4 linked regions of the Bombyx mori genome follow. Each later gene encodes a partner of the first gene's protein in a complex. Links are inferred from orthologs where the notes say so. Each region holds a gene or a part of one and is shown in the gene's direction. Other genes may lie near its edges.

Region 1 (5,507 bases):
AATTTGGTAGAAATCTTCTTTTTATATCTCCCTATCGCGTTTGCCTTGGATTTTAAAAAATTTAAATTTTAAGTCCTTTTAAAAAATTCGAGAGGTTCAAAAAAGGGGTTAATTTTTTTTAGCTATGGTCTATGCGGTAGCTACATCTTTATTGATTGAGAATTTATGGTAAAATAGTTTTTCATTTTTTTTATCTTCGTTTTTTTTAATTATTAAATGACTGCAACACCTTTGGCATTGATTTTGCCAATGCCAAGTATACACAAAAATGACAGGTGCTTAGAGGAAAAAATCTTAGTTTTAAAAATGTCTAAAATTTAGGCTTCTAAACCAGAATACCGCCTTAAAAGGAAGTAAACAAAAACCAACACTGAAATCATTTCCCAAGAATATCTTACATAAAATCGTTAAAATCTGACATCTGACCAAATGATGACACACTAAAAACTGTAATTTAAAAAACTAAAAATCACTAACAATGAATACTTCTTCCTGGTCGACTGGTCGGCAACCTCGTCAACCAAAAAGCCAAATATAGATAACACAATTGAAATTTCTTCAGCCATTTATTAACATATTTTTAAAGCCTTGATAAACTGTTTACTGGTACTCTTATAAGGCAAGACAATAAGTAATATTCTGTGCCTGAACTAAAGATTCAACACAAGAGCCATGCCACATGCGGCACCTATAATACAGATTGCCGACCACTGTCCTAGTTAAATAAAACTAAAAAGGTAAAATTGATTTTTAAGTGTGGACAGTTTATTCTACAAAGCAAGTTATTAGGGTTATTATATATTTTAACCAATAATTTGGAAATTAAATGAAGTTCAAAACAATTAAGTTTGATTGTAGAAAATATAGTCCTTAATATGTTTACTGAATTTCAATATGTTCAATTTGTTATGAAAATTGAATATATTGATGTAAAATATATATAAAATGTTTTGAAATATTTTGGAATGGATTAAAATCATCATACACACAAAAAAATTATTAAAAGCTATTAAAAAAGCACACAAATCCTGTGCTAGGCTTTTTTACATTGGCTTTTAATCTGCCTCAAATTGCATTTTTATACTATCTACTAGCCATCAAACTAACAAGTTCTTTTGTTATATCCACTTATTGCCTTGATTTTTCTAGAAAGTGAAGAAAAGTATACCCGACTTTAAACACATACCTTCTCAGCCTGGGGTACAGTTCTAGGGAATCCATCAAGTAAGAAACCATTCTTGCACTCAGGTTGATCCAAGTTCTTGTCAATCATATCAACCACCATTTCATCGGAAACAAGTTTGCCCTCATCCATGACCTTCTTAAGGCGTCGTCCCAGGTCTGATCCCGATGAGACTTCAGCACGCAGCATGTCACCAGTGGATAGGTGACAAACACAATACTTTTCTTTCAGACGAGGAGCCTAATGATAATAAACAAGTTCTCATGTATTTCAAAAATTGAATAACTGGCTTCATTATTGAATTTCTAATTTATATTTCTAATTATTAAATACTAATCATTAATTAAGTATTTATAATTATTAGCCTCAATGATACTTAAGTAATAATCAAATATTCACTATTAGTTATAATATGAGATAAAGAAGGCCAAAGTTCAATTAAACCACATACCTGAGTCCCCTTACCGGATCCAGGAGGGCCAAGTAGCACGGCCCTTATTCCTAAAGGATCCTCATCAGGTTTTAGTTTCGTGGCTGCAGCGGCCGGTGCCATATCATCAAATTCTTAAGCCTTCAATTAATTAGAGCCCTGTACAGACAAATCTGTCAAAGTTAGAATTGCAGAGGTGTTGTAACTACGTTTAGATATGCGTAAATTAGCACGTGATATAGTAATCAAAAGTTCAATTGCAATTTACATGATATCTTAAAAAATTATCAAAACTTTTTAAATGAATTTAATTCCACTCACCGAAATAGCCGACAGGCAAAGGGAAACAAAGTCCATAACGAAAAAATTATAAGGTGAGAAAAGGTCAAAGCCATACATATTTAATTCAAAACAAGTGGATTAAATAAAAATAAAAACACTTAGAATGAGGTTAGAACTCATCTCGAATTTAAATAAAACTGTAATTAAAGCATTGGTGAATTTTGTGAGGAGGCTCCAAAGGACTTTTTGAAGTAGCGGAGAAGTTATTTTTTTTATGAATTTAGTTATTAAAATTTTAATCAATAATAAATTGTTTGTATTTTTTATTTTTATGTTAATCAAATTGATTTAATTCTTTGTTTAACAGACGAAGCTCAATTGTTTTAAAAATATGAATGACTTATGTACTCTTTGCCTCTGAAATCGATAAAAAATATATACTTTGACAACAATAGTTGCACTTGACATTAGCATCATAGCCTCGCATAACCTGAAAATGAAGAGGCGGTAAATATTTATACGAAACTGTTTTCTATAATTTCCACTTTTAAAATTTTATTCTGTACCTAATATATGTCAAACCGGCTGGTCGTACTAGTTCTGTACTGCAATCAAGTTAAGTATGACAACGAGTAGTGTAAAGTAAGTTTCGTTCGTTAATTTTAAGTATTTAGTTTAAGCATTTCTGTATTTAACTACAAATTTCAGTTATTGGAAGAGGCTATGGCGCTGGACAACTTCGGAGAGTCTGACTACAGAAGAATTGACCAAAATTTTTGATACAAAAGAAGTAAGAGATGGACTTAAAATTGGATTGGCTAGTTACAAACAAAACAAGCCTGAGGACTTTACCAAACTTCAGTCACAGTATCCGGATCAAACAAAGCTGCTCACTATAGTGCAGACACTTCAAAATTATATTGTGAGCTGATATTTCAAATATATTACGTTTAATAAAATATTTGGGAATTTTGTTGTGTGTAATTCCTGTAGTTTTCAGTTAATAATACTATGAATTTTCTTGCAGGATGTCGACTGTTTTCAATTATGGGAAATATTAAAAAACTATTTGTGTGATATATCGTATGGTACACCTGAGAGTGCATTAAAGAATGTTGCATTTGTTGACACCCGACCTACATATTTGTCTCCCAAAGTATGGAGCTTCTATTATTCTGAGCGACTCTTTCTACTCAAATTGCTTCAGTACATCATTCAGCTTAAAGATGATGCTCAATATAAATATCAAAAGGAATTCACCAAGATTATTGAAGATATTGGCATACAAAACATTAAAACCTCACTCATATCTCAATTTGAAAAGGTCTTAAGTGCTGCTCCACCATCTAGAAAAATATTGAGTGATTTTTCTAATGATTCTGTGCGACACACTTGGTTAGAGAGTAATTTGAGAGAACAATTAGCAATACTTCAAATACTCTTAATAATTGCGGAAAAGAACACATTTCAAGCTGAAGAATTCAAAAAATTGTTTAATTTGTTCATAAAACACAGTTTTGGGAAGAATTATGGGTTCAGTGAGTTCCTGGGAGAAAGACACAGAGAGCAATGCCTCTGTATTATGTACATGGAAGTTTGCCTGTTTATGATCATTATTGATCATTTGAAAATGTAAGAATTTGGTGTAAACATTGTAATTTATTTTTCATTGTTTTATTCAATTTATTTTTGGCACTATATATAACATATTGGTGTTGTAATTTACTTTGGCTTGGCTGTGACATTTCAGTGATAATTTATCAACATGGATAGAAAATACTAAAGAAGTTGTAGAAACTGAATTGACAAAAATTCAAATGTGTACAGAACACAGTGCCATGCTTTTGACGTGGATGCTGGTAACGTTGCAGGTAATTATCAGTTTTTTAATTAAGGTATTCATCATGCAAAGCTTACTTGAAGGTTTAGGTGCTTTTAGGCACTACAAGCACCGGTCATCGTCCTCGTCGAAACCGTCGCTTGCGACGAAGGGCTCGACGAGCGAATTAACCCACAGACACAGCCCACTGAGTTTCTCGCCGGATCTTCTCAGTGGGTTGCGTTTCCGATCCGGTGGTAGATTCTGCGAAGCACTGCTCTTGCTAGGGTCAGTGTTAGCAACCGGTTTGAGCCCCGTGAGCTCACCTACACACGCTAGGGTAAGCTGAAATAAACTCTCAAGGCTATCAGCATAGGTAGGAAAAAAAACCAGAAGGTTTATAATCAACGTTGCTTAAGAATAATATTGTTGAAAGAAAAACAACCAATATCTGATTTTTATGTAATAATATATATATATATTATTACATAAAAATATATATATATTTATAGGTAATAAACCCGAATGTGCTGTTTTGAGACACTGGGTTCATATACGTACCCATATACCAGGAGCCTCAAAGCAGCGCAGATTTGTGAATTAAATGTTTAAATGTTTTAATTGCTAATTTTAATTTTAATTTTAATTTTACTAACATAGTTCTAAGTATTATTCTACTTACAACATAATAATATGGACTTAAGAGGGTCTGAATTAAATGAATTTTATTTTTTTTATTTTTTATGTCACAGCTGGGCAGAACAAATGACAAATCTTTTTTAAAGGATTTATGTAGTGCAGAACTTTTACTATCTTGTAGAGTTCTCTTGACATTCGTTACATAATAATATGAAATACTTACTAAATATATAGCAAGTCAACGACATTGATTTGTAGAAAATAGCCCTGTAATCTATACCAAAAAGTATATTTACACTACTCAGTAAGGCTCATAAATTTTTTTGTTGAACATTGTGTTATTGTTACAGAGTGATCAACATGTAAAATTATTTGAAAGCCAATATCAACATTTTGGCAGTACTGCAATGAAGATGAAAGTGTTTGAGTTTCTTCAACAGATGCTGAACAGTCCTGTATTCTCAGTAAGTATTCATTCACACATTCATTACCGTAACCTTTAAAAATATTTTGTGTTATTTCATATCTATTCTGAATTTTCAATATAAATTATTATCTAACATAAGATTAAGATAAATGAAGGAACCTTTCAACGTTTTATTTGAACTGCTTACTCATTTTGGTTTGGTAAATGTTACCCTTAACAAACAAGACAAAATATAGGTATATAAAGGAAAGTCCTAAAATCCTGACTTGATTTATAACTGAAAATTTGTATTTTCATATACATCGTCTGTCTATCTATCTGCATGTCTGTCTATCTATCATGATCATTCATTTAGGACAGCCTTTCCCAAAGTAGGCGATAACGCTCCCTTATGGGCGCTGCAGGCCTAAAGGGTAAGAGACCCAAAAAAAAGGGGGGCGTTGTGTAGAGGTTTGAGGTAATTTCATCTAGGACGACTCTTAGACACCAACTGTGCTCTCGCTATGGTGGTTTTTAAGTAGGTGAAAAAATGGGGCCGCCAAAAAATAATTTATTCTCAAAACGGACAGTAGACATAATAAGTTTGGGAACTCCTGATTTAGGACCATAATTTATGAACATTACACTATAGCGAGAGATTACATACATTAAATGTAATCAACCTTGCAGGATCAATCAAAGTGCTCACAAATAGCTAAACAAAGAATGTTTAATATCCTCAACGAGC
Region 2 (5,313 bases), on another chromosome or scaffold:
GTCACTTAAAGTCTCAAAGTTTTCCATGACCAGATTTTCATTTGTTAATCTGCCATCATTTGTTCCATTTTCATTTCATTCTCTATTATTTCGCCTTTCAACAACATCTTCTCGAACTATACGCCATTTCTACTTTATTACACTCCATTAGTATTATTTCCTCTAATATCACCTTCTCGAACTCCACTAACTCTCCATTTCTTCCTATTTCACCTTCTCGAACTTCATTACCTCCATTACTACTATTTCCTCTAAAATCACCTTCTCGAACTCCATTAACTCCATTTCTTCCTCTATCACCTTCTCGAACTTCATTAACTCCATATCTTCCTCTAGCACCTTCTCGAACTTTGTCGACTTCGTCTTCACGATTATTTTTTATTTGTTGTTCTCCCTTCTATTACCTTATCTCATACTCTTATAATTCTGTTTGGTATTTCAGCCAAATATTATAACATTTTCTGTTTTTTTTAATGGTTTTATTTTCATTAAATTCATTTCATATTGGTTGCTAAGAAAAATTTTTACAAACAGTTTCGTTTCCATGGTGAAGTTGTAGGCGTAGGTGATGTTTTAATCAGCAAACTATAATAAATATTACCTTATAAATTCTGGTCTGGGCCCATAACCTGTTGGATGGTTACATTTGAGGGGATTGGGTCTTTAGGTGATGAGGGGCTATTTAAAAACACAACTGCTTCATTATAATTATATTGCAGATTGCTTGAACACTTTTACACCATTATACAATTATTATCTTTATATTTTTTATATAACTATTACATGTTTGTCTTGCCGTGTCTAGATGAGAAGTCACTGACATTTTCTTACGAGAATACAATGATCTGTTTTTTAAAACATTTAAAATAATTCCAATATTCGAAATCTAATCAAGTGTCAAGTGTTGCCTGCCATTACATTTAATATACAAACTCCAACATGGACAATCCGCAAACTTTGAGAGGAGACCGCGAGCCAAAGGATGGCATTTAGATCCTACCCACTAAATTATATTGTATACATACTGAGTGCATTTTTTCCCTACCTAATTGTTGGGAGTCTAAGGGGCTATTCCAACTACGAGCGGACCGGTAGGTGGACTCACGGGTTCAACCTGAGAGAATTCCTAATACTAGCCCTAGCATGAGCAGTCCTTCGCTGAATCTACCACCGGATCGAAGCCGCGATTCATTGAGAAAATTCGGCGAGAAACTTAGTGGGTTGTGTCTATTGGCTAGTTCACACGTGGAATGTAATGTTTGGACTATATTTTTGTAGGTGTGTATGTTAAGTGACGCCCCTAGCAAACTTGAGTGCCGTGCCTGGTATTTTTAGTTTGTTTGCGGTTGTTGGAAGTTCGTGATGCTGTCCACATGTACTTGTCAATGATGCACTGCATTTGAATTTATATTGTGTTCTTTTACTTTTGATGTGCGCTGTCATTATGAAAATTATTTTTCTAATATACAAGTGAACACAATGTTTTCAAGTATTATTTAAATTTTAATTAATTGTTATAGCCACGGAGCTAGTCCACTTTATCAGCAGTAACAAGTCACACTTAACACGATGAAAAAAGACAATGTTTGTTCTCTCTGCGTTCCTGAAGCATTCATGCAATTATATATAAACAAACTATGTATTTCACTTTTCCTCCACATCACTTTTCATCCAACAGACATGAATTGGCGACAAAATAATTAGGTGTATAGACTATATTTCCTTTGCCTATCCAAAGGACTACACTAAAAAAGTCTGATAATTTTGTTATGTTTTGATGGTTTTGGTACATTTCATGAAATGGACAACCTAGAATAAATACTTACCGTTCATATTTTTAAATTAAATTTTACAAGAATCTATAGTTGTATGTTCATGGTTTATAGTTTAATTTAGTTATAGTTTCAATGGCTTTTTCATTTGGTAATACCACTACTACACAAGGTTCGGTTTTTGGTGCTGCCGCCAAACGTGAGTATAATTTAGAATGTAAATGTAACACAAGAACATTTAAATATGTTCTGAAAGTTCTATAACACATATAAGGCCAGAGAATTTTACATGAAATCATCAATGATCAAATTAATGAGCCATTAAATGAAAGATAAGGAACGCGAACTTTTTGAGTTACTGTTATTACTTCATTGTCCGCAGTAATACCTATTCTCACTTACTAGGTTTCAAATTTCCCTTAATTCTAATTTTGACCATTGGTAAGTTGTGTCACATAGTTTACGCAGGCAAGTGGATATCTTAACTGTGATTCTGATACATAATATACTTAATGTAGTGGAGCTACATAATGAAGATTATTTCATCTCCTGGTCACAAAAATGATTAAATTGATTTCTGTTTCATTGTTCACATTTTGCAAATTGCAGGTATTCATGGCAGTCATTCCAATTTTTTAGTTTAAATTGTTTAATAACACTTTCGTACTTTAATTCCAGCGACATTTTCATTTGGTGGAACAAGTACTGCTACAACCACCAGTACTGGGTTTAATTTTGGTACTACGACAACCTCATCGGGCTTTGGCTCCTTTGGGACCAGTAGTGGTAATACTTGGCTTGACTAAGAATATAATTAATTTAAAAAAATATATTTCTGCACTATTATTACAACTACCATTACACATTTCAATTACCAAAAACTATAAAAGAAAATCAGACAAGAGCTATTTTTATATTGACACATTCAATTTTGGTGATTTAATAATGGTGGTGTGAATAGAAAGTTTACCATTTTAAGACTTTACTATTTTTAAAATGAGTTCCGGTTACTACTTTTATTGGCTCCGGTTATCACTTAACACCAGGTGAGCCGTGAGCTTGTCCACCCATATAACCTATATAAAAATGTAGATTCTTTCAAACTATTCTTAGTTAAAAAAGTTTCTTAGACCTAATGATTGAAAACTGTATAAATACACAGTTGTTTATAGTTCAATTAAAGTATACAACTAGTGACCCGCCCTCGCTTCGCTTCGGAAACATTAAAACACACATGAAACAAAAAAAAAAAAAAAAAATTTAAAAAAAAGTAGCCTATGTTCATCAGGGACAATGTCGGCTTCTAATGGAAAAAGAATTTTTCAAATCGGTCCAGTAGTTTCGGAGCCTATTCGAAACAAACAAACAAACAAATCTTTCCTCTTTATAATATTAGTATAGATATATCAATTTACTAGGAAAAAATACGAGTCATTTCCAATTTGTACGAAAAATGTTTAATGTAACATACTCCAAAACAATCATAATTAAATATGACAATTACTAAACATCCGATCAAAGTAGAATGTGGTTTTTGCTCTCGAACTTTACATGCACATGTGGTATGGATATCTTAATTTTATCGCACTTTTAATGTATATTTTATTTCAGCGTATAAATTGTGAATAATAATTTTTTCAGTCTAATTTTATGGAGTTTCTATAGCTCAAATAACACATGAATGATATAGAAGACACATAATTTAAAAACAATATGCGCAGATAGTCAAGGCTACAAAAGCTAACTGTTTAGCATTAAGCTAAATCGATTTGCTCGAGAACAATATGCCACTGCATAATATTCACTGATATCAATTAGTGTAGTAATAATGTAATATCTAATGTTTCAGCAACACCTTTTGGTGGTTTGGGTAACACTGCTACTACAACAACTACTAATTCATTGTTCGGAGGGACTGGATTTGGAGCTGCCAAACCTGCCACTGGTAATATTGATTAAATTTTACTTACATTTTTACTTTACGTTTTCAAATTTCCAATTTACCTTTGATTGATCAGATGTATTATGCGAGTAGTGTTTTTGATGCATACATTCATGTATTACAAAGTAATCACTGATACCTAAAGATTTCATTTTAATTATTAAATTTTCTCTTTAGTTTTGTATTTTGATATTTGAAATATTGAAAAAGATATAATTCCAAATTAATTACTATTAATAATTGACAAAATTATTTACACAATTGTTAAAGGTTTTGGAACAACTGGCTTTGGGACGAACACATTTGGGACTGGTTTATTTGGAACTGGATCCAATACATTTGCGAGTGCAGCACCAACATTTGGTACAAACACTCTAGGTTCCAGCAATCTGAATACAGGAGCTTTCGGTACCGGAACTTTTGGCAGTGGATTTGGTACAAAACCGTCAACTGGTTTCGGTGGATTTGGTCTTGGCACTAATCAATTTGGACAACAACAGGTGTGTTTGATTCAATTACCATACAAGAAGTGAACTAGAAAAACATATATTTTTATGAAATACGTATTAATATTCAGTAGGGCTTGTATATCAGTGAAACTTTTTTTAAATAGATTTTAGTTTTCGACAGTCACACGGCAAACGATGAAACCTCGTAATTTCGCTCTGTAACTCAGACCTTTTTTACTCTGAAGTCATTCTGCAGTAACAAATGGGCGACCGAAATTGCAATAGTCAATATATTAGGGGTAACGCATATAACAGAGCTATGAAAAATAATTGAATGTATCAGCACATGTTTGTACCATGTAGAAGCGTTTTTATTACAAAACGTTAACCTTTGTTGATACAAGCCCAAAACACGTCATTACGGATCCTCCCGATCTATTAACGGTGCTTTCAGTATCAAGCACCGGTCACCGTCCTCGTCGAAACCGTCGCTTGCGACGAAGGGCTCGACGAGCGAATTGACCCAGCCCACTGAGTTTCTCGCCGGATCTTCTCAGTGGGTTGCGTTTCCGATCCGGTGGTAGATTCTGCGAAGCACTGCTCTTGCTAGAGCCAGTGTTAGCAACACTCCGGTTTGAACCCCGTGAGCTCACCTACACATTAGAGTGAAGCTGAAATAGCCTCTCAAGGTTCAGCATAGGTAGGAAAAAAAAGTTTTTTTTTTATTGCTTAGATGGATGGACGATCTCACAGCCCACCTGGTGTTAAGTGGTTACTGGAGCCCATAGACATCTACAACGTAAATGCGCCACCCACCTCGAGATATAAGTTCTAAGATCTCAGTATATGTAGTTACAACAGCTACCCCACCCTTCGAACCGAAACGCATTACTGCTTCACGACGGAAATAGGCGGGGTGGAGGTACCTACCCGTGCGGACTCCCAAGAGGTCCTACCACCAGTGATTACGCAAATTATAATTTTGCGGGTTTGATTTTTATTACACGATGTTATTCCTTCACCGTGGAAGTCAATCGTGAACATTTGTTGAGTACGTATTTCATTAGAAAAATTGTTACCCGCCTGCGGGACTCGGAACACCGGTGCATCGCTACATACAAATGCACCGGACGTCTTATCCTTTAGGCCA
Region 3 (5,196 bases), on another chromosome or scaffold:
CCTTTTGTACGTTTTTTTTATTGGTATTTACAACAAATCAAATTATTCCAGGCGGTCTATTAACAACAGGGACTCTTCTTCGACGGTGGGACGGTAGTTTGCCAATTAAAGCAAAAAAAGAATTGTAACCAACCTCATAAAATCCATGTGGGATATGTCCCAAATAAACAAGCCCTCTTACACGTTTCTTTTTTTTTATTTTCTCTTCTTGTACTTTAGGGGTGACGGGGGTCTGATCCTTCGCTTGCGTTTTTTTCTTCTGTGATATAAATAAGAATAAGTACACTGGTTTTTTATAACCTAGTCTCAAATATATAATGTTATTAATACTACCTTTATAGTTTTTTGCAATCCTTTAATGGATTTGATAAACTTTTTTTGTTTGCTAGAATCCAACGCAACGTTTTCTTCCATTTTATTTCGTAATTTAAAATGTGATTTAAGCAAAAACTTAGAAGTGTAAATAAAGAACAACAAAGTCTTCTTTTTTAATTTTTAGGGATTTTATGACCTGGTAAGTAGGACCTTTAAGTCAAGTCTTATTTTTATTTTTATGAAAAGTGGTATGAAATGAAGGAAGCTGATTAATATAAAACAATGCACGAAATGTCATAAAATGAAAATGAAAATGAAAACGAAGTGAGACGAGACGAGACGAGATGAAACGGGACGAACGAGCACTTTCACAGATACTAAATAGTTAATAAACCACCGTTATTACACATTTAAACCTGAAGAAACACTTAATAGACAAAAATTTAATAAAACAAATCTCACAACTTCACTCTTCGCATTCCCGCCAAAAAGTCCCAAGCCTTCTCGTGTATTAAGTGCACAGATTGATGTTCGTTTTAATATGTATCGTTTGCGTCAGATAGGTGTAGGCATTACATATTATCTATTTTTTAGCTGCAAATACGGTACATCAATTTAATATAAAAATAGATTCCCTTTGGCTATCTGGTAGAAATAACAAACTCTCGTGTAACAGACACAAAAAGCTCAAGACCTTTAGGCGGGATCGTGAGAAAAGGATTAATGTGACTTGTTACATTTTGTTCATTTACTTTATGCTTAAACGTATAAAACAGTGGTTCACTAGCTTTTTCGCACCTGTGTTAATGCTTAAGGCTATGTTCCGATGTACACTGGGAGCACTGTAAAATATAATGTAAAATTAGTATACTGCGAAGCCATTCCTTTAATAGCTGCACTGGTTACTTTTTTAAATGGAACACAGTACAGTATAAGGGTGAGACCGATATATTAGTATTCATTAAGATATTCGTAATACAGCTTGGGAATTTTTAAATGCATTACTTTTTAATGTTTGAACCTTCATTTCTTGATTCCTTGAAGTCAAATTCCTAGATACAATATACTATTTATATTATTAATAACTAATGTGTATTATCTATGATTATTAACTTATTTCACGAATACCGTATTAGGTTTAACTCGTTTACCCGTTTTATCAAAGTATATTAAGATATCAGGATATTCACGTATTAGTTAAGGTATTATAATATTACATAACGAATATATTTGTATATTGACAAATATCAGTATTAACCCATCGTTAGTACAGTATGATGCCTGCAATTTGTGTCTCAAACAAAAAAAAATGTATGGTTGCCGCTGTTATAATTCACTTCATCTAAAAAAATAAATAAACATTTGATTTCACTTAATTACATTCCATTTCACATAATAAGTATAGTCTTGGCCTTCCAAATGCTTTAGCGGTATAGACTTCTTTCCGTGTGCCTATCCAAGGAATGAAAAACTTATCCTTTCTCCAGTTGAGCTGTGGAAAGTGGAAATGACATATAAAGAAAACAAAATTTCAATGTTTTCATGAGACCGATTTTGCGCTAATAAACTCTGATTCTTTGATAAATATCAATCATGAAATGTCGATTGACGAAATTATAGGAAAAACTACATTCTTGTAATTTTGTATATTAAAATTAGTCATTCAAAGTTAAAAATCCAGTAATACCTAACCACAATGTCGATGATAACTGGCACTCTTAATCAATACATACAATGTGTGGAACGTATGTACAGAACGGGACAAGGTAACATATTGTCTAGACTGTTGTCTCTAAGAGATGAACATGTCTACAATAGGAATCTATTATCTAGCGATATTGCAACCCTTGTCACAGGAAATTGTGTTGCTCCATTAGATGAACTTGTAATTGCACACTTATCATGTCTTAAGGTGAGATATATGAATTTAATTCTGGTTTTAAATTGATAAATATAGATTAAAAAATAGTAAATGTACCATTATTAATCTGGCCGTTACTACAGCGAACATTACCTGTTAAGTGTATTTTAAATATATCGTTTTATTAGCTTCTCGTCAAATACTTTTACTGGTGGCAAGACCTCTTGAGTCAGTAGTAGTCAGAAGCAGTAATGCATTTCGGTCAGAGACTGAGACCTTAGAACTTATATTTCAATATGGGTGGCGCATTTACGTTGTAGATATCTATGGGCTCCAGTAACCACTTAACACCAGGTGGGCTGTAAGCTCATCCACCGATCTAAGCAATAAAAAAAAATGCTTTGCATTCCAGGCATTATATGCAAGTGATTACATTGAGGCATACGATCATCAGAGTATATGTGTGGCCTCTGTCGTAAAGCTATTACAGGGACAGAAAGAAGAGAACTGGTGCCTTCCGGTTATGTATGCTGCATGTTTAGATCTTAGACTTGTTGCACAGAAAGCAGAGGCATCTAGCCGTAAGTATGAATTTGCATACATCATTCAAGAGCTAAGATAAGATGGTAATAGTATCAAGTGATTAGGGCATTAAGAATAAGATGCCTGGAGTACTCATATTGAAATCTTCAAATGCCAAGGAAAATAATGTGTCATAGAAATGAGATCTTATAGTATTTATGATGGTCGGTTGTGTTATAAGTTTGCACAACTAGGTATGTATTACCAAACTGCTTGTTTCTGTACTAAAGCAATCATGTATTCTAGCTTGAAGAATAGTGCAGCAATTACACTATACAATTCAGCCTTAAACTTCATCACTTAAGGCAGACTTCACAAAGTAACGTCTACAGACTCTAGTAACCACTCATCATCTGGTGGCTGTTTAAGTGCAGGTTCCCTTCTACTCAAGATTTGTCTCCTTAGTCTTGTTTGAAGAATGACTAACCCTAAGTGCTCAGTATATTCACAGGTGGTAGGATTCAACTCTGTTATGGTGGTACAATGTCGAAAAAACGAAATTATCTCAAATACTTGCATGAGTTGTTGTCTTAGTCAATATTGTGTTAAATAATCTGTATTCTGTACAATTAATTTCATTTGTCAATATTTCAGCTCAAAATGGCAGTAAAATTATGGAAAAAGCAGCAGAGAGCTTATTAGCTTGCTTCAGAGTCTGTGCTGCTGACAACAGAGCTTCAGATGTGGATACCAAAAAGATAGGCATGTTGTGTCTTGTAAACCAACTTCTTAAAGTATATTTCAGGATAAACAAGCTCCACCTTTGCAAACCATTGATTAGAGCCATTGATTCTTCACCATTCAAAGATCAATTCCCACTGGCCCAACAAATTACATACAGATATTTTGTGGGTCGTAAAGCCATGTTTGACTCAGACTATCGTCTAGCTGATGAATACTTATCGTTTGCTTTTGAAAATTGTCACAGAAGAAGCATACGAAATAAAAGGCTCATTCTAACTTATTTAGTTCCTGTGAAAATGCTGTTGGGTTTCATGCCCGCAAAATATTTACTAGAGAAATATGATTTGCTACAATTCTGGGATCTAATATCAGCTGTGAAAAATGGAGATTTGCGTGGTATCGATATGGTTATGGAGGAACATGAAAAGTTCTTCATAACGGCTGGTATTTATTTGATTGTAGAAAAATTAAAGATTACAGCATACAGAAATTTGTTTAGGAAAGTATATTTAGCGGAGAATTCACATCAGATAGACATAGCCAGCTTCGAGGCAGCATTACAAATCATGGGACAGGAAGATGTTGATTCAGATGAAACTCAATGTATTGTTGCAAATCTCATATATGATGGAAAAATCAAAGGATACATCTCATACCAACACAAGAAAGTGGTTGTCAGTAAACAAAATGCTTTTCCTCCATTATCTAGTCTGTATTAAATTTATACCATTTAAATAATACCTAGGGGAATACACACTTAATTTTTTGATTGTTTTAATAAAAATTAAGATTCCATTAGCATAAAGGCTGATTAAGTGAAATGTGATGATGAGCAATTGTATATCTGACGCAATTTCACTATTTAAATACTTTCTTTTTGATTACATATAATATCCATAAAAATACACAAAACAGTTCAGTAGTCCAGTTTTTTTATTTTAGTAGCACTAATGTGTTTAGGGTTGTCATTAAATAAAATAGAAACTCACAACGGTAGGGGTGTCTTTACACCAAAATATGTCATTAATAAAACAAAATATTATACATATAATACATAACATGAGTCCAAACCTTGTCAGTGAATATGGTTAAGCACTATAACAATAATATCTATTAATTGAGTGTAATTAATGTGGATTTTAATAAAAGATGATGATGATGAGAGATTAATGACATGATGTGTAATTGTTTTGAATCCTGCTTGATCTGTATTAAGTTTAAAATTTAAATAAACGTCTAGGGATTACAGATAAATAATAATTTTGAATTCGATATTTCGCGTCGTTCGGAATCTCTATTTATGAAAATACTATTTGTCCCTGTTTTGTATCGTATGTTGCAAATATATTCCATTACCAAAGTGAGCAATAGTTTCAATGTTCCCATCACTATTGTTTTTCAAATTTTTATTGAATTGGAACGTTTGCCTACGTTTGCCGCTAGGGGCGCTGTTCCAACTGCATACAAATTTAAGTTTACTTTTACGCTATCAAGAACGTTAAAAACTAACACTAAGCACACTGAGTAGATGATGTTATGGATATAATTGGATAGTAAACTTAAAAATACATAACCAGTTATATAATAAAGGAAAAGTTTTACTGACGTGACAACGTCTTATAATTCGATGGAGCTGGCTGCACGCACGAAAAAACATGACTCATAGAGGCGTTCCATTTAAGGCAGTCTTTCTCAAAGTGGGCGATAACGCCCCCTTGGGGGCGTTTGAAACCTACAGGGGGGCGTTAAGGGGC
Region 4 (5,171 bases), on another chromosome or scaffold:
TTTTTCTAGTGTACTTTACCTGTGTAATTGTTGTGTCTGTTTGAAATATGTTTAATAAAGTTATCTCAATGTGGTTCTATATATTTTTTATTACGATGATGAGCTCTACGTAAATAAATATATTAAAACTTTCATGTAACATACAATAAAAGTTCCTTGTTCGCGCTTCATTTGCGTTTTCACTATTAGGGGATTTAAAAAAAATGCTAAAAATTTCTTTATTCGCGGACGCAAGGGCGGATCCAGGTTTGGCGCCGGGAGGGGGTCACATAGTCGTGGGCAAGTTAAGATAATAAATAAATCATGATGTTCTTCAATTAGTCCAAGTTAGTTCAAGTCCTGGAACTAGCTCAGGGGGGGGTCATGACCCCCCTCCTGGATACGCCGTTGCGCGGACGTAATCGATACATTGTTAAAAAGGAATTCCGATAAGTAGGTATCCAATCGAATATCATTTGTAAACGCGTCGTCAAATAGACTAATAAAAAGTTAAATAGATCTTATTACCACCAGGCCTAAAACAAAACGCTAAATTGATATGACATCGCCGCTGTATTGGTTCTGTCTTTGACAGGAGCCGTCTTCGCTGCCTGATAAATGAAATTTCACGATTTCTATGTTCGCGGCATATTTACGGAACATATACTCCGCGAATAAAGAGCTTTTACTGTACTCTGAGGTCGTCGTGGCCTAAAGGATAAGATTTCTGGTGTATTCGTATCTAGCGGTGCACTGGTGTTCGAATCCCGCAGACGGGTACCAATTTTTCTAATACAAATGTTCACGAATGACTTCCACAGTGAAGGAATAACATCGTGTAATAAAAATAAAACCCGCAAATTATTATAAAATTAGGACCTCTTGTGAGTCCGCACGGGTAGGTACCGCCACCCGCCACCCCGCCTATTTCTGCCATGAAGTTGTAATGCGTTTCGGTTTGAAGGGTGGGGCAGCCGTTGTAACTATACTTATACCTACTTGAGACCTTAGAAGTTAGAACTTATATCTCAAGGTGGGTGGCACATTTACGTTGCAAATGTCTATGGGCTCCAGTAACCACTTAACACCAGGGGTAGGTTTTTTTATTCCTACCTAAGCTGATAGCCTTGAGAGGCTATTTCAGCGGAACCTTAACTGGTAGGTGAGCTCACGGGGCTCAAACCTGACGACGTTGCTAACACGAACCCTAGCAAGAGCCGTGCTTCGCAGAATGTATTATCGGATCGGAAACGCGACTCACTGAGAAGATCCGGCGAGAAACTCAGTGGGCTGTGTCTGACGGTTAATTTACGTTTCGACGGGAACGGTGACGGGGGGGGGGGGGCGTGAGCTCGTCCACCCATTTAAGCAACATAAACATAACTGAGAAATAACCAACATTTTACTGAGTTTATTCCATATCTCTAATTCCATGGTCAGTCGGTTGGTGCCTGGTATGGGATGTTACTTGTGTGGATTTATGTTAAATTATTTTGATTTGTTATTTATTAATAAGGGATTCATAAATCGTAAAAAATAATATGTAAAAAAGATTAGGATATATGGTTTGATATCTTTACTTTTCTAGTTGGAAAAATAGAACTGCTACCACTACTCAACTTGACTTTGACAACAACTGTCAAAAAAAAAAGCAACCGCGCGCGTTTGTTTGTCGCTTCATTTATAGACATTCAAAAAATTTCAAGTTTCAAACGCCAAACTAATAGTATTTTAATAATAAATATAATTAATAAGATAGTCATATACCTTAAGTTTGCGTGAAATACTAATATTTATGTTTCAAGTCTGATGCCAACAGCTAAGTAATCATGGAAATCAACGAAGGTAAACAAAACTGATACCGACATATAACCTAAATTTGTTTTATTCTCTTTACTAAAAGTATAAATGTACAAATCTCCCTTTTTTCTTTCAAATGATCTTCTTAAACAATACTGCAGTCGTCGTTCTCTGCAGTAGAATTCCTATTTATATAGCGGAATTAAACAAAGTATGTTTAAAAAAATTCTCTATTTAAATCTATTAAAAAATTGTAAAAAACAATTAAAATGAATTTCATTGATTATCTTCAAACATATATCGGTTCACCGAGAAATAAGACCAGACAATTATTATTTCCTAACTGCGTTCATACGTTTAATTGAATTGTCTAAATGAACTACCACTTTTCAGGCAATACCACAGACGATCTGTGGACGCCCTACAAAGAGTTGGTGTCTGTAGTGGAGAGTTATCTTACACATGAGAGTGGTGGGGCCCTTTATGCTGTACACACCTTTGAGTCAGTTCTTAGAAGACACAAGCAAACATTTCTAGCTTTATTTAAGAATCCAGTGAGTGACATATTTTTTACTAATTTCTTTCATGATACTTCTGTTTCATTAAACCTAACAAAACTCGAGATGATCTTGAAGTGTATGTAGTATCAAGAAAAGCAATTAATTTGATTGTAAGAAGTCAAGTGTGCTTTTTATTATATTTTTATAATAATCTTACTTTTGTAAATATTCATAATAGGTTACATTGTTTATAAATTATTTTATGTCTATTGCAAATACAGTGGAGGCATTAATGTTATGATGTGAAGGGGTTCTGGTAACTACTTTACATTGGGTGGTCTGAGAACTCATTTGCCCTTATAAGTAATAAAATAAAGGTTCCCAATTGACCATTTGTAAAATTAAATGTGCAGTACCACTCTTTCATGCAATTGATTTAATTCCTTATCACCTTGATTTCACTATTCATTAAGTCATCATTAATCCACTCAAATGCTAAATGCCACAATGTAAACCGATAGGTATAAAATGATTATAAAATTTAGTTAATTAAACTAAATTAAATTTGTGTTTTCATCTCTGGTGGTTTCTTTTTGAAACCTTGAACTTGAAAATCAAAACCTAATGTTGTGTTATACTTTACTGTAAATTTGTATTTTTTTTATGTTGTTTAGCCAAAAAACCTGGCAAGCAGGGAGGAACTAAAGAGGGGTATGACTGAAGGTATCACACTGCCTAGCATAGGGAGGACCATCATATCTAAAGAACTTGTGGATGAAGCTATCATTATATCAGGTAATATTATGAATTTGAATTCATTAAAAGTTTAAGAAATACGAAGGAATCCTATATCTTTTGTGACTTCAAGACTCCAGCTTAAAAATTTTCACTCCAATATTTTGTTTGGTTTCTTATAGTAAAATTTGTGTATTTGAAGTTTTTTTGCTCAACTTTTTGATACATCGGTAATCTTGAATTGATCCAGAAAAACCTGAAGTCAGTTTCAGAAGAGTACTTCGCAAGGCTATTTGTCAAGATAATCGCGTTATCAATACTGCCGCTGACTACTCCCCAACTCCTGCTCACCAGGAGCCAGTCACTGTAGACGCCCTAGACACGTCCATACACATTAGATCCAATAACTCTTGCATTAGATGCCTTAGCTTGCTAGGAGCATTCTTAGAGACACTGGTGACCATACTCACACGGGCACCTAACCCATACGTCAGCTTAGTGAGTTTCTTGCCGGATCTTGTTAGCGATTCCAATCTGGTAGTAGATTCATTTGCAAAGCAGCTGCCTTTGAGTTGTTAGGTCTCCGCCAGAGGCGCTCAGGCAGCTGTTAGCAAATAAATCCCTTCCTTCCTGGCTGAGCCTTTGCTCGCGCACCTGTCTTGGTGAAACAGGAAAAGCCTACAGGCCAGTTCATTCATAAAAACAACATTGTAAGTATGTGTAAATCCTGCATGGTTCACATCTCTGTAACTTAAATCTTTTCATTGTATTTTAATGTTTCACTTAATGTTTTAAAGAACCAAAATTAGTTCTGTGAATTCATTATAATATAGTCCATAAAATATATTTTTGTCTACAGATATGTTCAATGTGAATGAATACCTTGCATTAGAGCTGCTTCATACAGCACAGCGACAGTTACCACGTCACCCTGGTCTGCCACGAGGCCTTGTGGCCGTTTTGCTGTACTATGATGGACGTAGAGCACTTGTGCAGGCATTAAAAGAACTATGCATGGCCAGAGAAGGTGTTTGTTGGTGAGTGCAAATTTTTGTTTTAAATTAGTTCATTTTACAAATACATTATGTGCAGAAAAAGGTTGTAAATTGAAAAATAAGAATGATTGTGTGATGTTAACATTGTCTAGTGAGGGTTTACTAACAGCAGTACTAGTCAGCATTTACATCTCTCAGTCTCATTGGTGGTATGGTGTTTTTTTTTATTGCTTAGATGGGTGGATGAGCTCACAGCCCACCTGGTGTTAAAGGTCTCAAGTATAGTTACGACGGCTGCCCCACCCTTCAAACCGAAACGCATTACTGCTCTACGGCAGAAATAGGCAGAGTGCTGGTATTTGCCCACGCAGACTCGCAAGAGGTGCTACCACCAGTAATTACGCAAATTATAATTTTGCGGGTTTGATTTTTATTACACAATGTTATTCCTTCACTGTGGAAGTCAATTGTGAACATTTTTTGAGTGCGTATTTCATTATAAAAATTGGTACCCGCCTGTGGGATTCGAACACCAGTGCATCGCTTAATATGAATGCACCGGACGTCTTATCCTTTAGGCCACGACGACTTTTATCGGTAAGTCTCATGAACTTGTATGGATAAGTATGGCTGACCTGCCATGCAGAAGTAATACTTTTTAGTTTCAAGGGTGAGGCAGCTATTGTACTATAAAACAGACTTTTGTGTCTTAAAGTTCAAAGTTGCAATACACTTGAAACTTCGACTTCATGTCTCTGGAGGTGGGTGGGGGCATTTACGTTGTTGATGTCTATGGGTTCCGGTAATCACTTAACACCAGGTGGGCCGACAGTTCGTCCACTTATCTGAGCAATAAAAATAAAAAATACATTGCATTATGTCAGGTCAATATCGGCACGTGCGGAGGTAGTGTGGTACGTGAGCCGCTACGTGGAGCAGGCGTGCAGTGGGGGGCTGGGTGCGGGCGTGCTGGACGCGTTGCCGCGCTGCGACGTGCGGGCCACGCTCGACCTGCTGCACGCGCACCGCGCCGCGCCCCCGCATCCCCACCTCGCCAGGCTGTGCGCCACCCTCAATGATACTAGGTACTTAGCATTCATTATGCAATTGCTCTTTACTTGTTAGGTCTCCTTCGGAGGCGCTCGGGCAATTGTTAGCAAAT

The links.
Region 2: nucleoporin Nup188 (region 1) and probable nucleoporin Nup54 share a complex: the UniProt entries of both Drosophila melanogaster proteins name them as parts of the nuclear pore complex. The link is inferred for Bombyx mori from reciprocal best matches to the Drosophila melanogaster genes Nup188 and Nup54.
Region 3: nucleoporin Nup188 (region 1) and PCI domain-containing protein 2 homolog share a complex: the UniProt entries of both Drosophila melanogaster proteins name them as parts of the nuclear pore complex. The link is inferred for Bombyx mori from reciprocal best matches to the Drosophila melanogaster genes Nup188 and PCID2.
Region 4: nucleoporin Nup188 (region 1) and nuclear pore complex protein Nup205 share a complex: the UniProt entries of both Drosophila melanogaster proteins name them as parts of the nuclear pore complex. The link is inferred for Bombyx mori from reciprocal best matches to the Drosophila melanogaster genes Nup188 and Nup205.

Annotation. Positions count from the first base shown.
Region 1 is NC_085111.1:4,872,035-4,877,541, reverse strand, and holds the start of nucleoporin Nup188, read left to right. Parts: upstream 1-2,357; 5' UTR 2,358-2,517; coding exon 2,518-2,537; intron 2,538-2,603; coding exon 2,604-2,817; intron 2,818-2,922; coding exon 2,923-3,527; intron 3,528-3,645; coding exon 3,646-3,766; intron 3,767-4,703; coding exon 4,704-4,817; intron 4,818-5,449; coding exon 5,450-5,507. Other genes in the region: adk2 (adenylate kinase 2), read right to left, coding at 1,187-1,423, 1,635-1,736. UniProt on the Drosophila melanogaster protein: Component of the nuclear pore complex (NPC), a complex required for the trafficking across the nuclear envelope. Required for proper protein transport into the nucleus.
Region 2 is NC_085121.1:5,992,635-5,997,947, forward strand, and holds the start of probable nucleoporin Nup54, read left to right. Parts: upstream 1-1,742; 5' UTR 1,743-1,907; coding exon 1,908-1,971; intron 1,972-2,450; coding exon 2,451-2,558; intron 2,559-3,621; coding exon 3,622-3,717; intron 3,718-3,984; coding exon 3,985-4,214; intron 4,215-5,313. UniProt on the Drosophila melanogaster protein: Component of the nuclear pore complex (NPC), a complex required for the trafficking across the nuclear envelope. Essential for the nuclear import of nuclear localization signal (NLS)-containing proteins in an importin alpha/importin beta-dependent manner.
Region 3 is NC_085115.1:3,909,313-3,914,508, reverse strand, and holds PCI domain-containing protein 2 homolog, read left to right. Parts: upstream 1-1,625; 5' UTR 1,626-2,011; coding exon 2,012-2,227; intron 2,228-2,588; coding exon 2,589-2,757; intron 2,758-3,352; coding exon 3,353-4,161; 3' UTR 4,162-4,806; downstream 4,807-5,196. Other genes in the region: Nopp34 (nucleolar phosphoprotein), read right to left, coding at 134-259, 334-414. UniProt on the Drosophila melanogaster protein: Required for the export of nuclear mRNAs and involved in mRNA trafficking in the cytoplasm.
Region 4 is NC_085121.1:1,006,273-1,011,443, forward strand, and holds the start of nuclear pore complex protein Nup205, read left to right. Parts: upstream 1-1,600; 5' UTR 1,601-1,808; coding exon 1,809-1,824; intron 1,825-2,172; coding exon 2,173-2,333; intron 2,334-2,953; coding exon 2,954-3,074; intron 3,075-3,873; coding exon 3,874-4,051; intron 4,052-4,893; coding exon 4,894-5,094; intron 5,095-5,171. UniProt on the Drosophila melanogaster protein: Plays a role in the nuclear pore complex (NPC) assembly and maintenance, but with limited role in NPC permeability. Required for specific nuclear import pathways such as Mad import.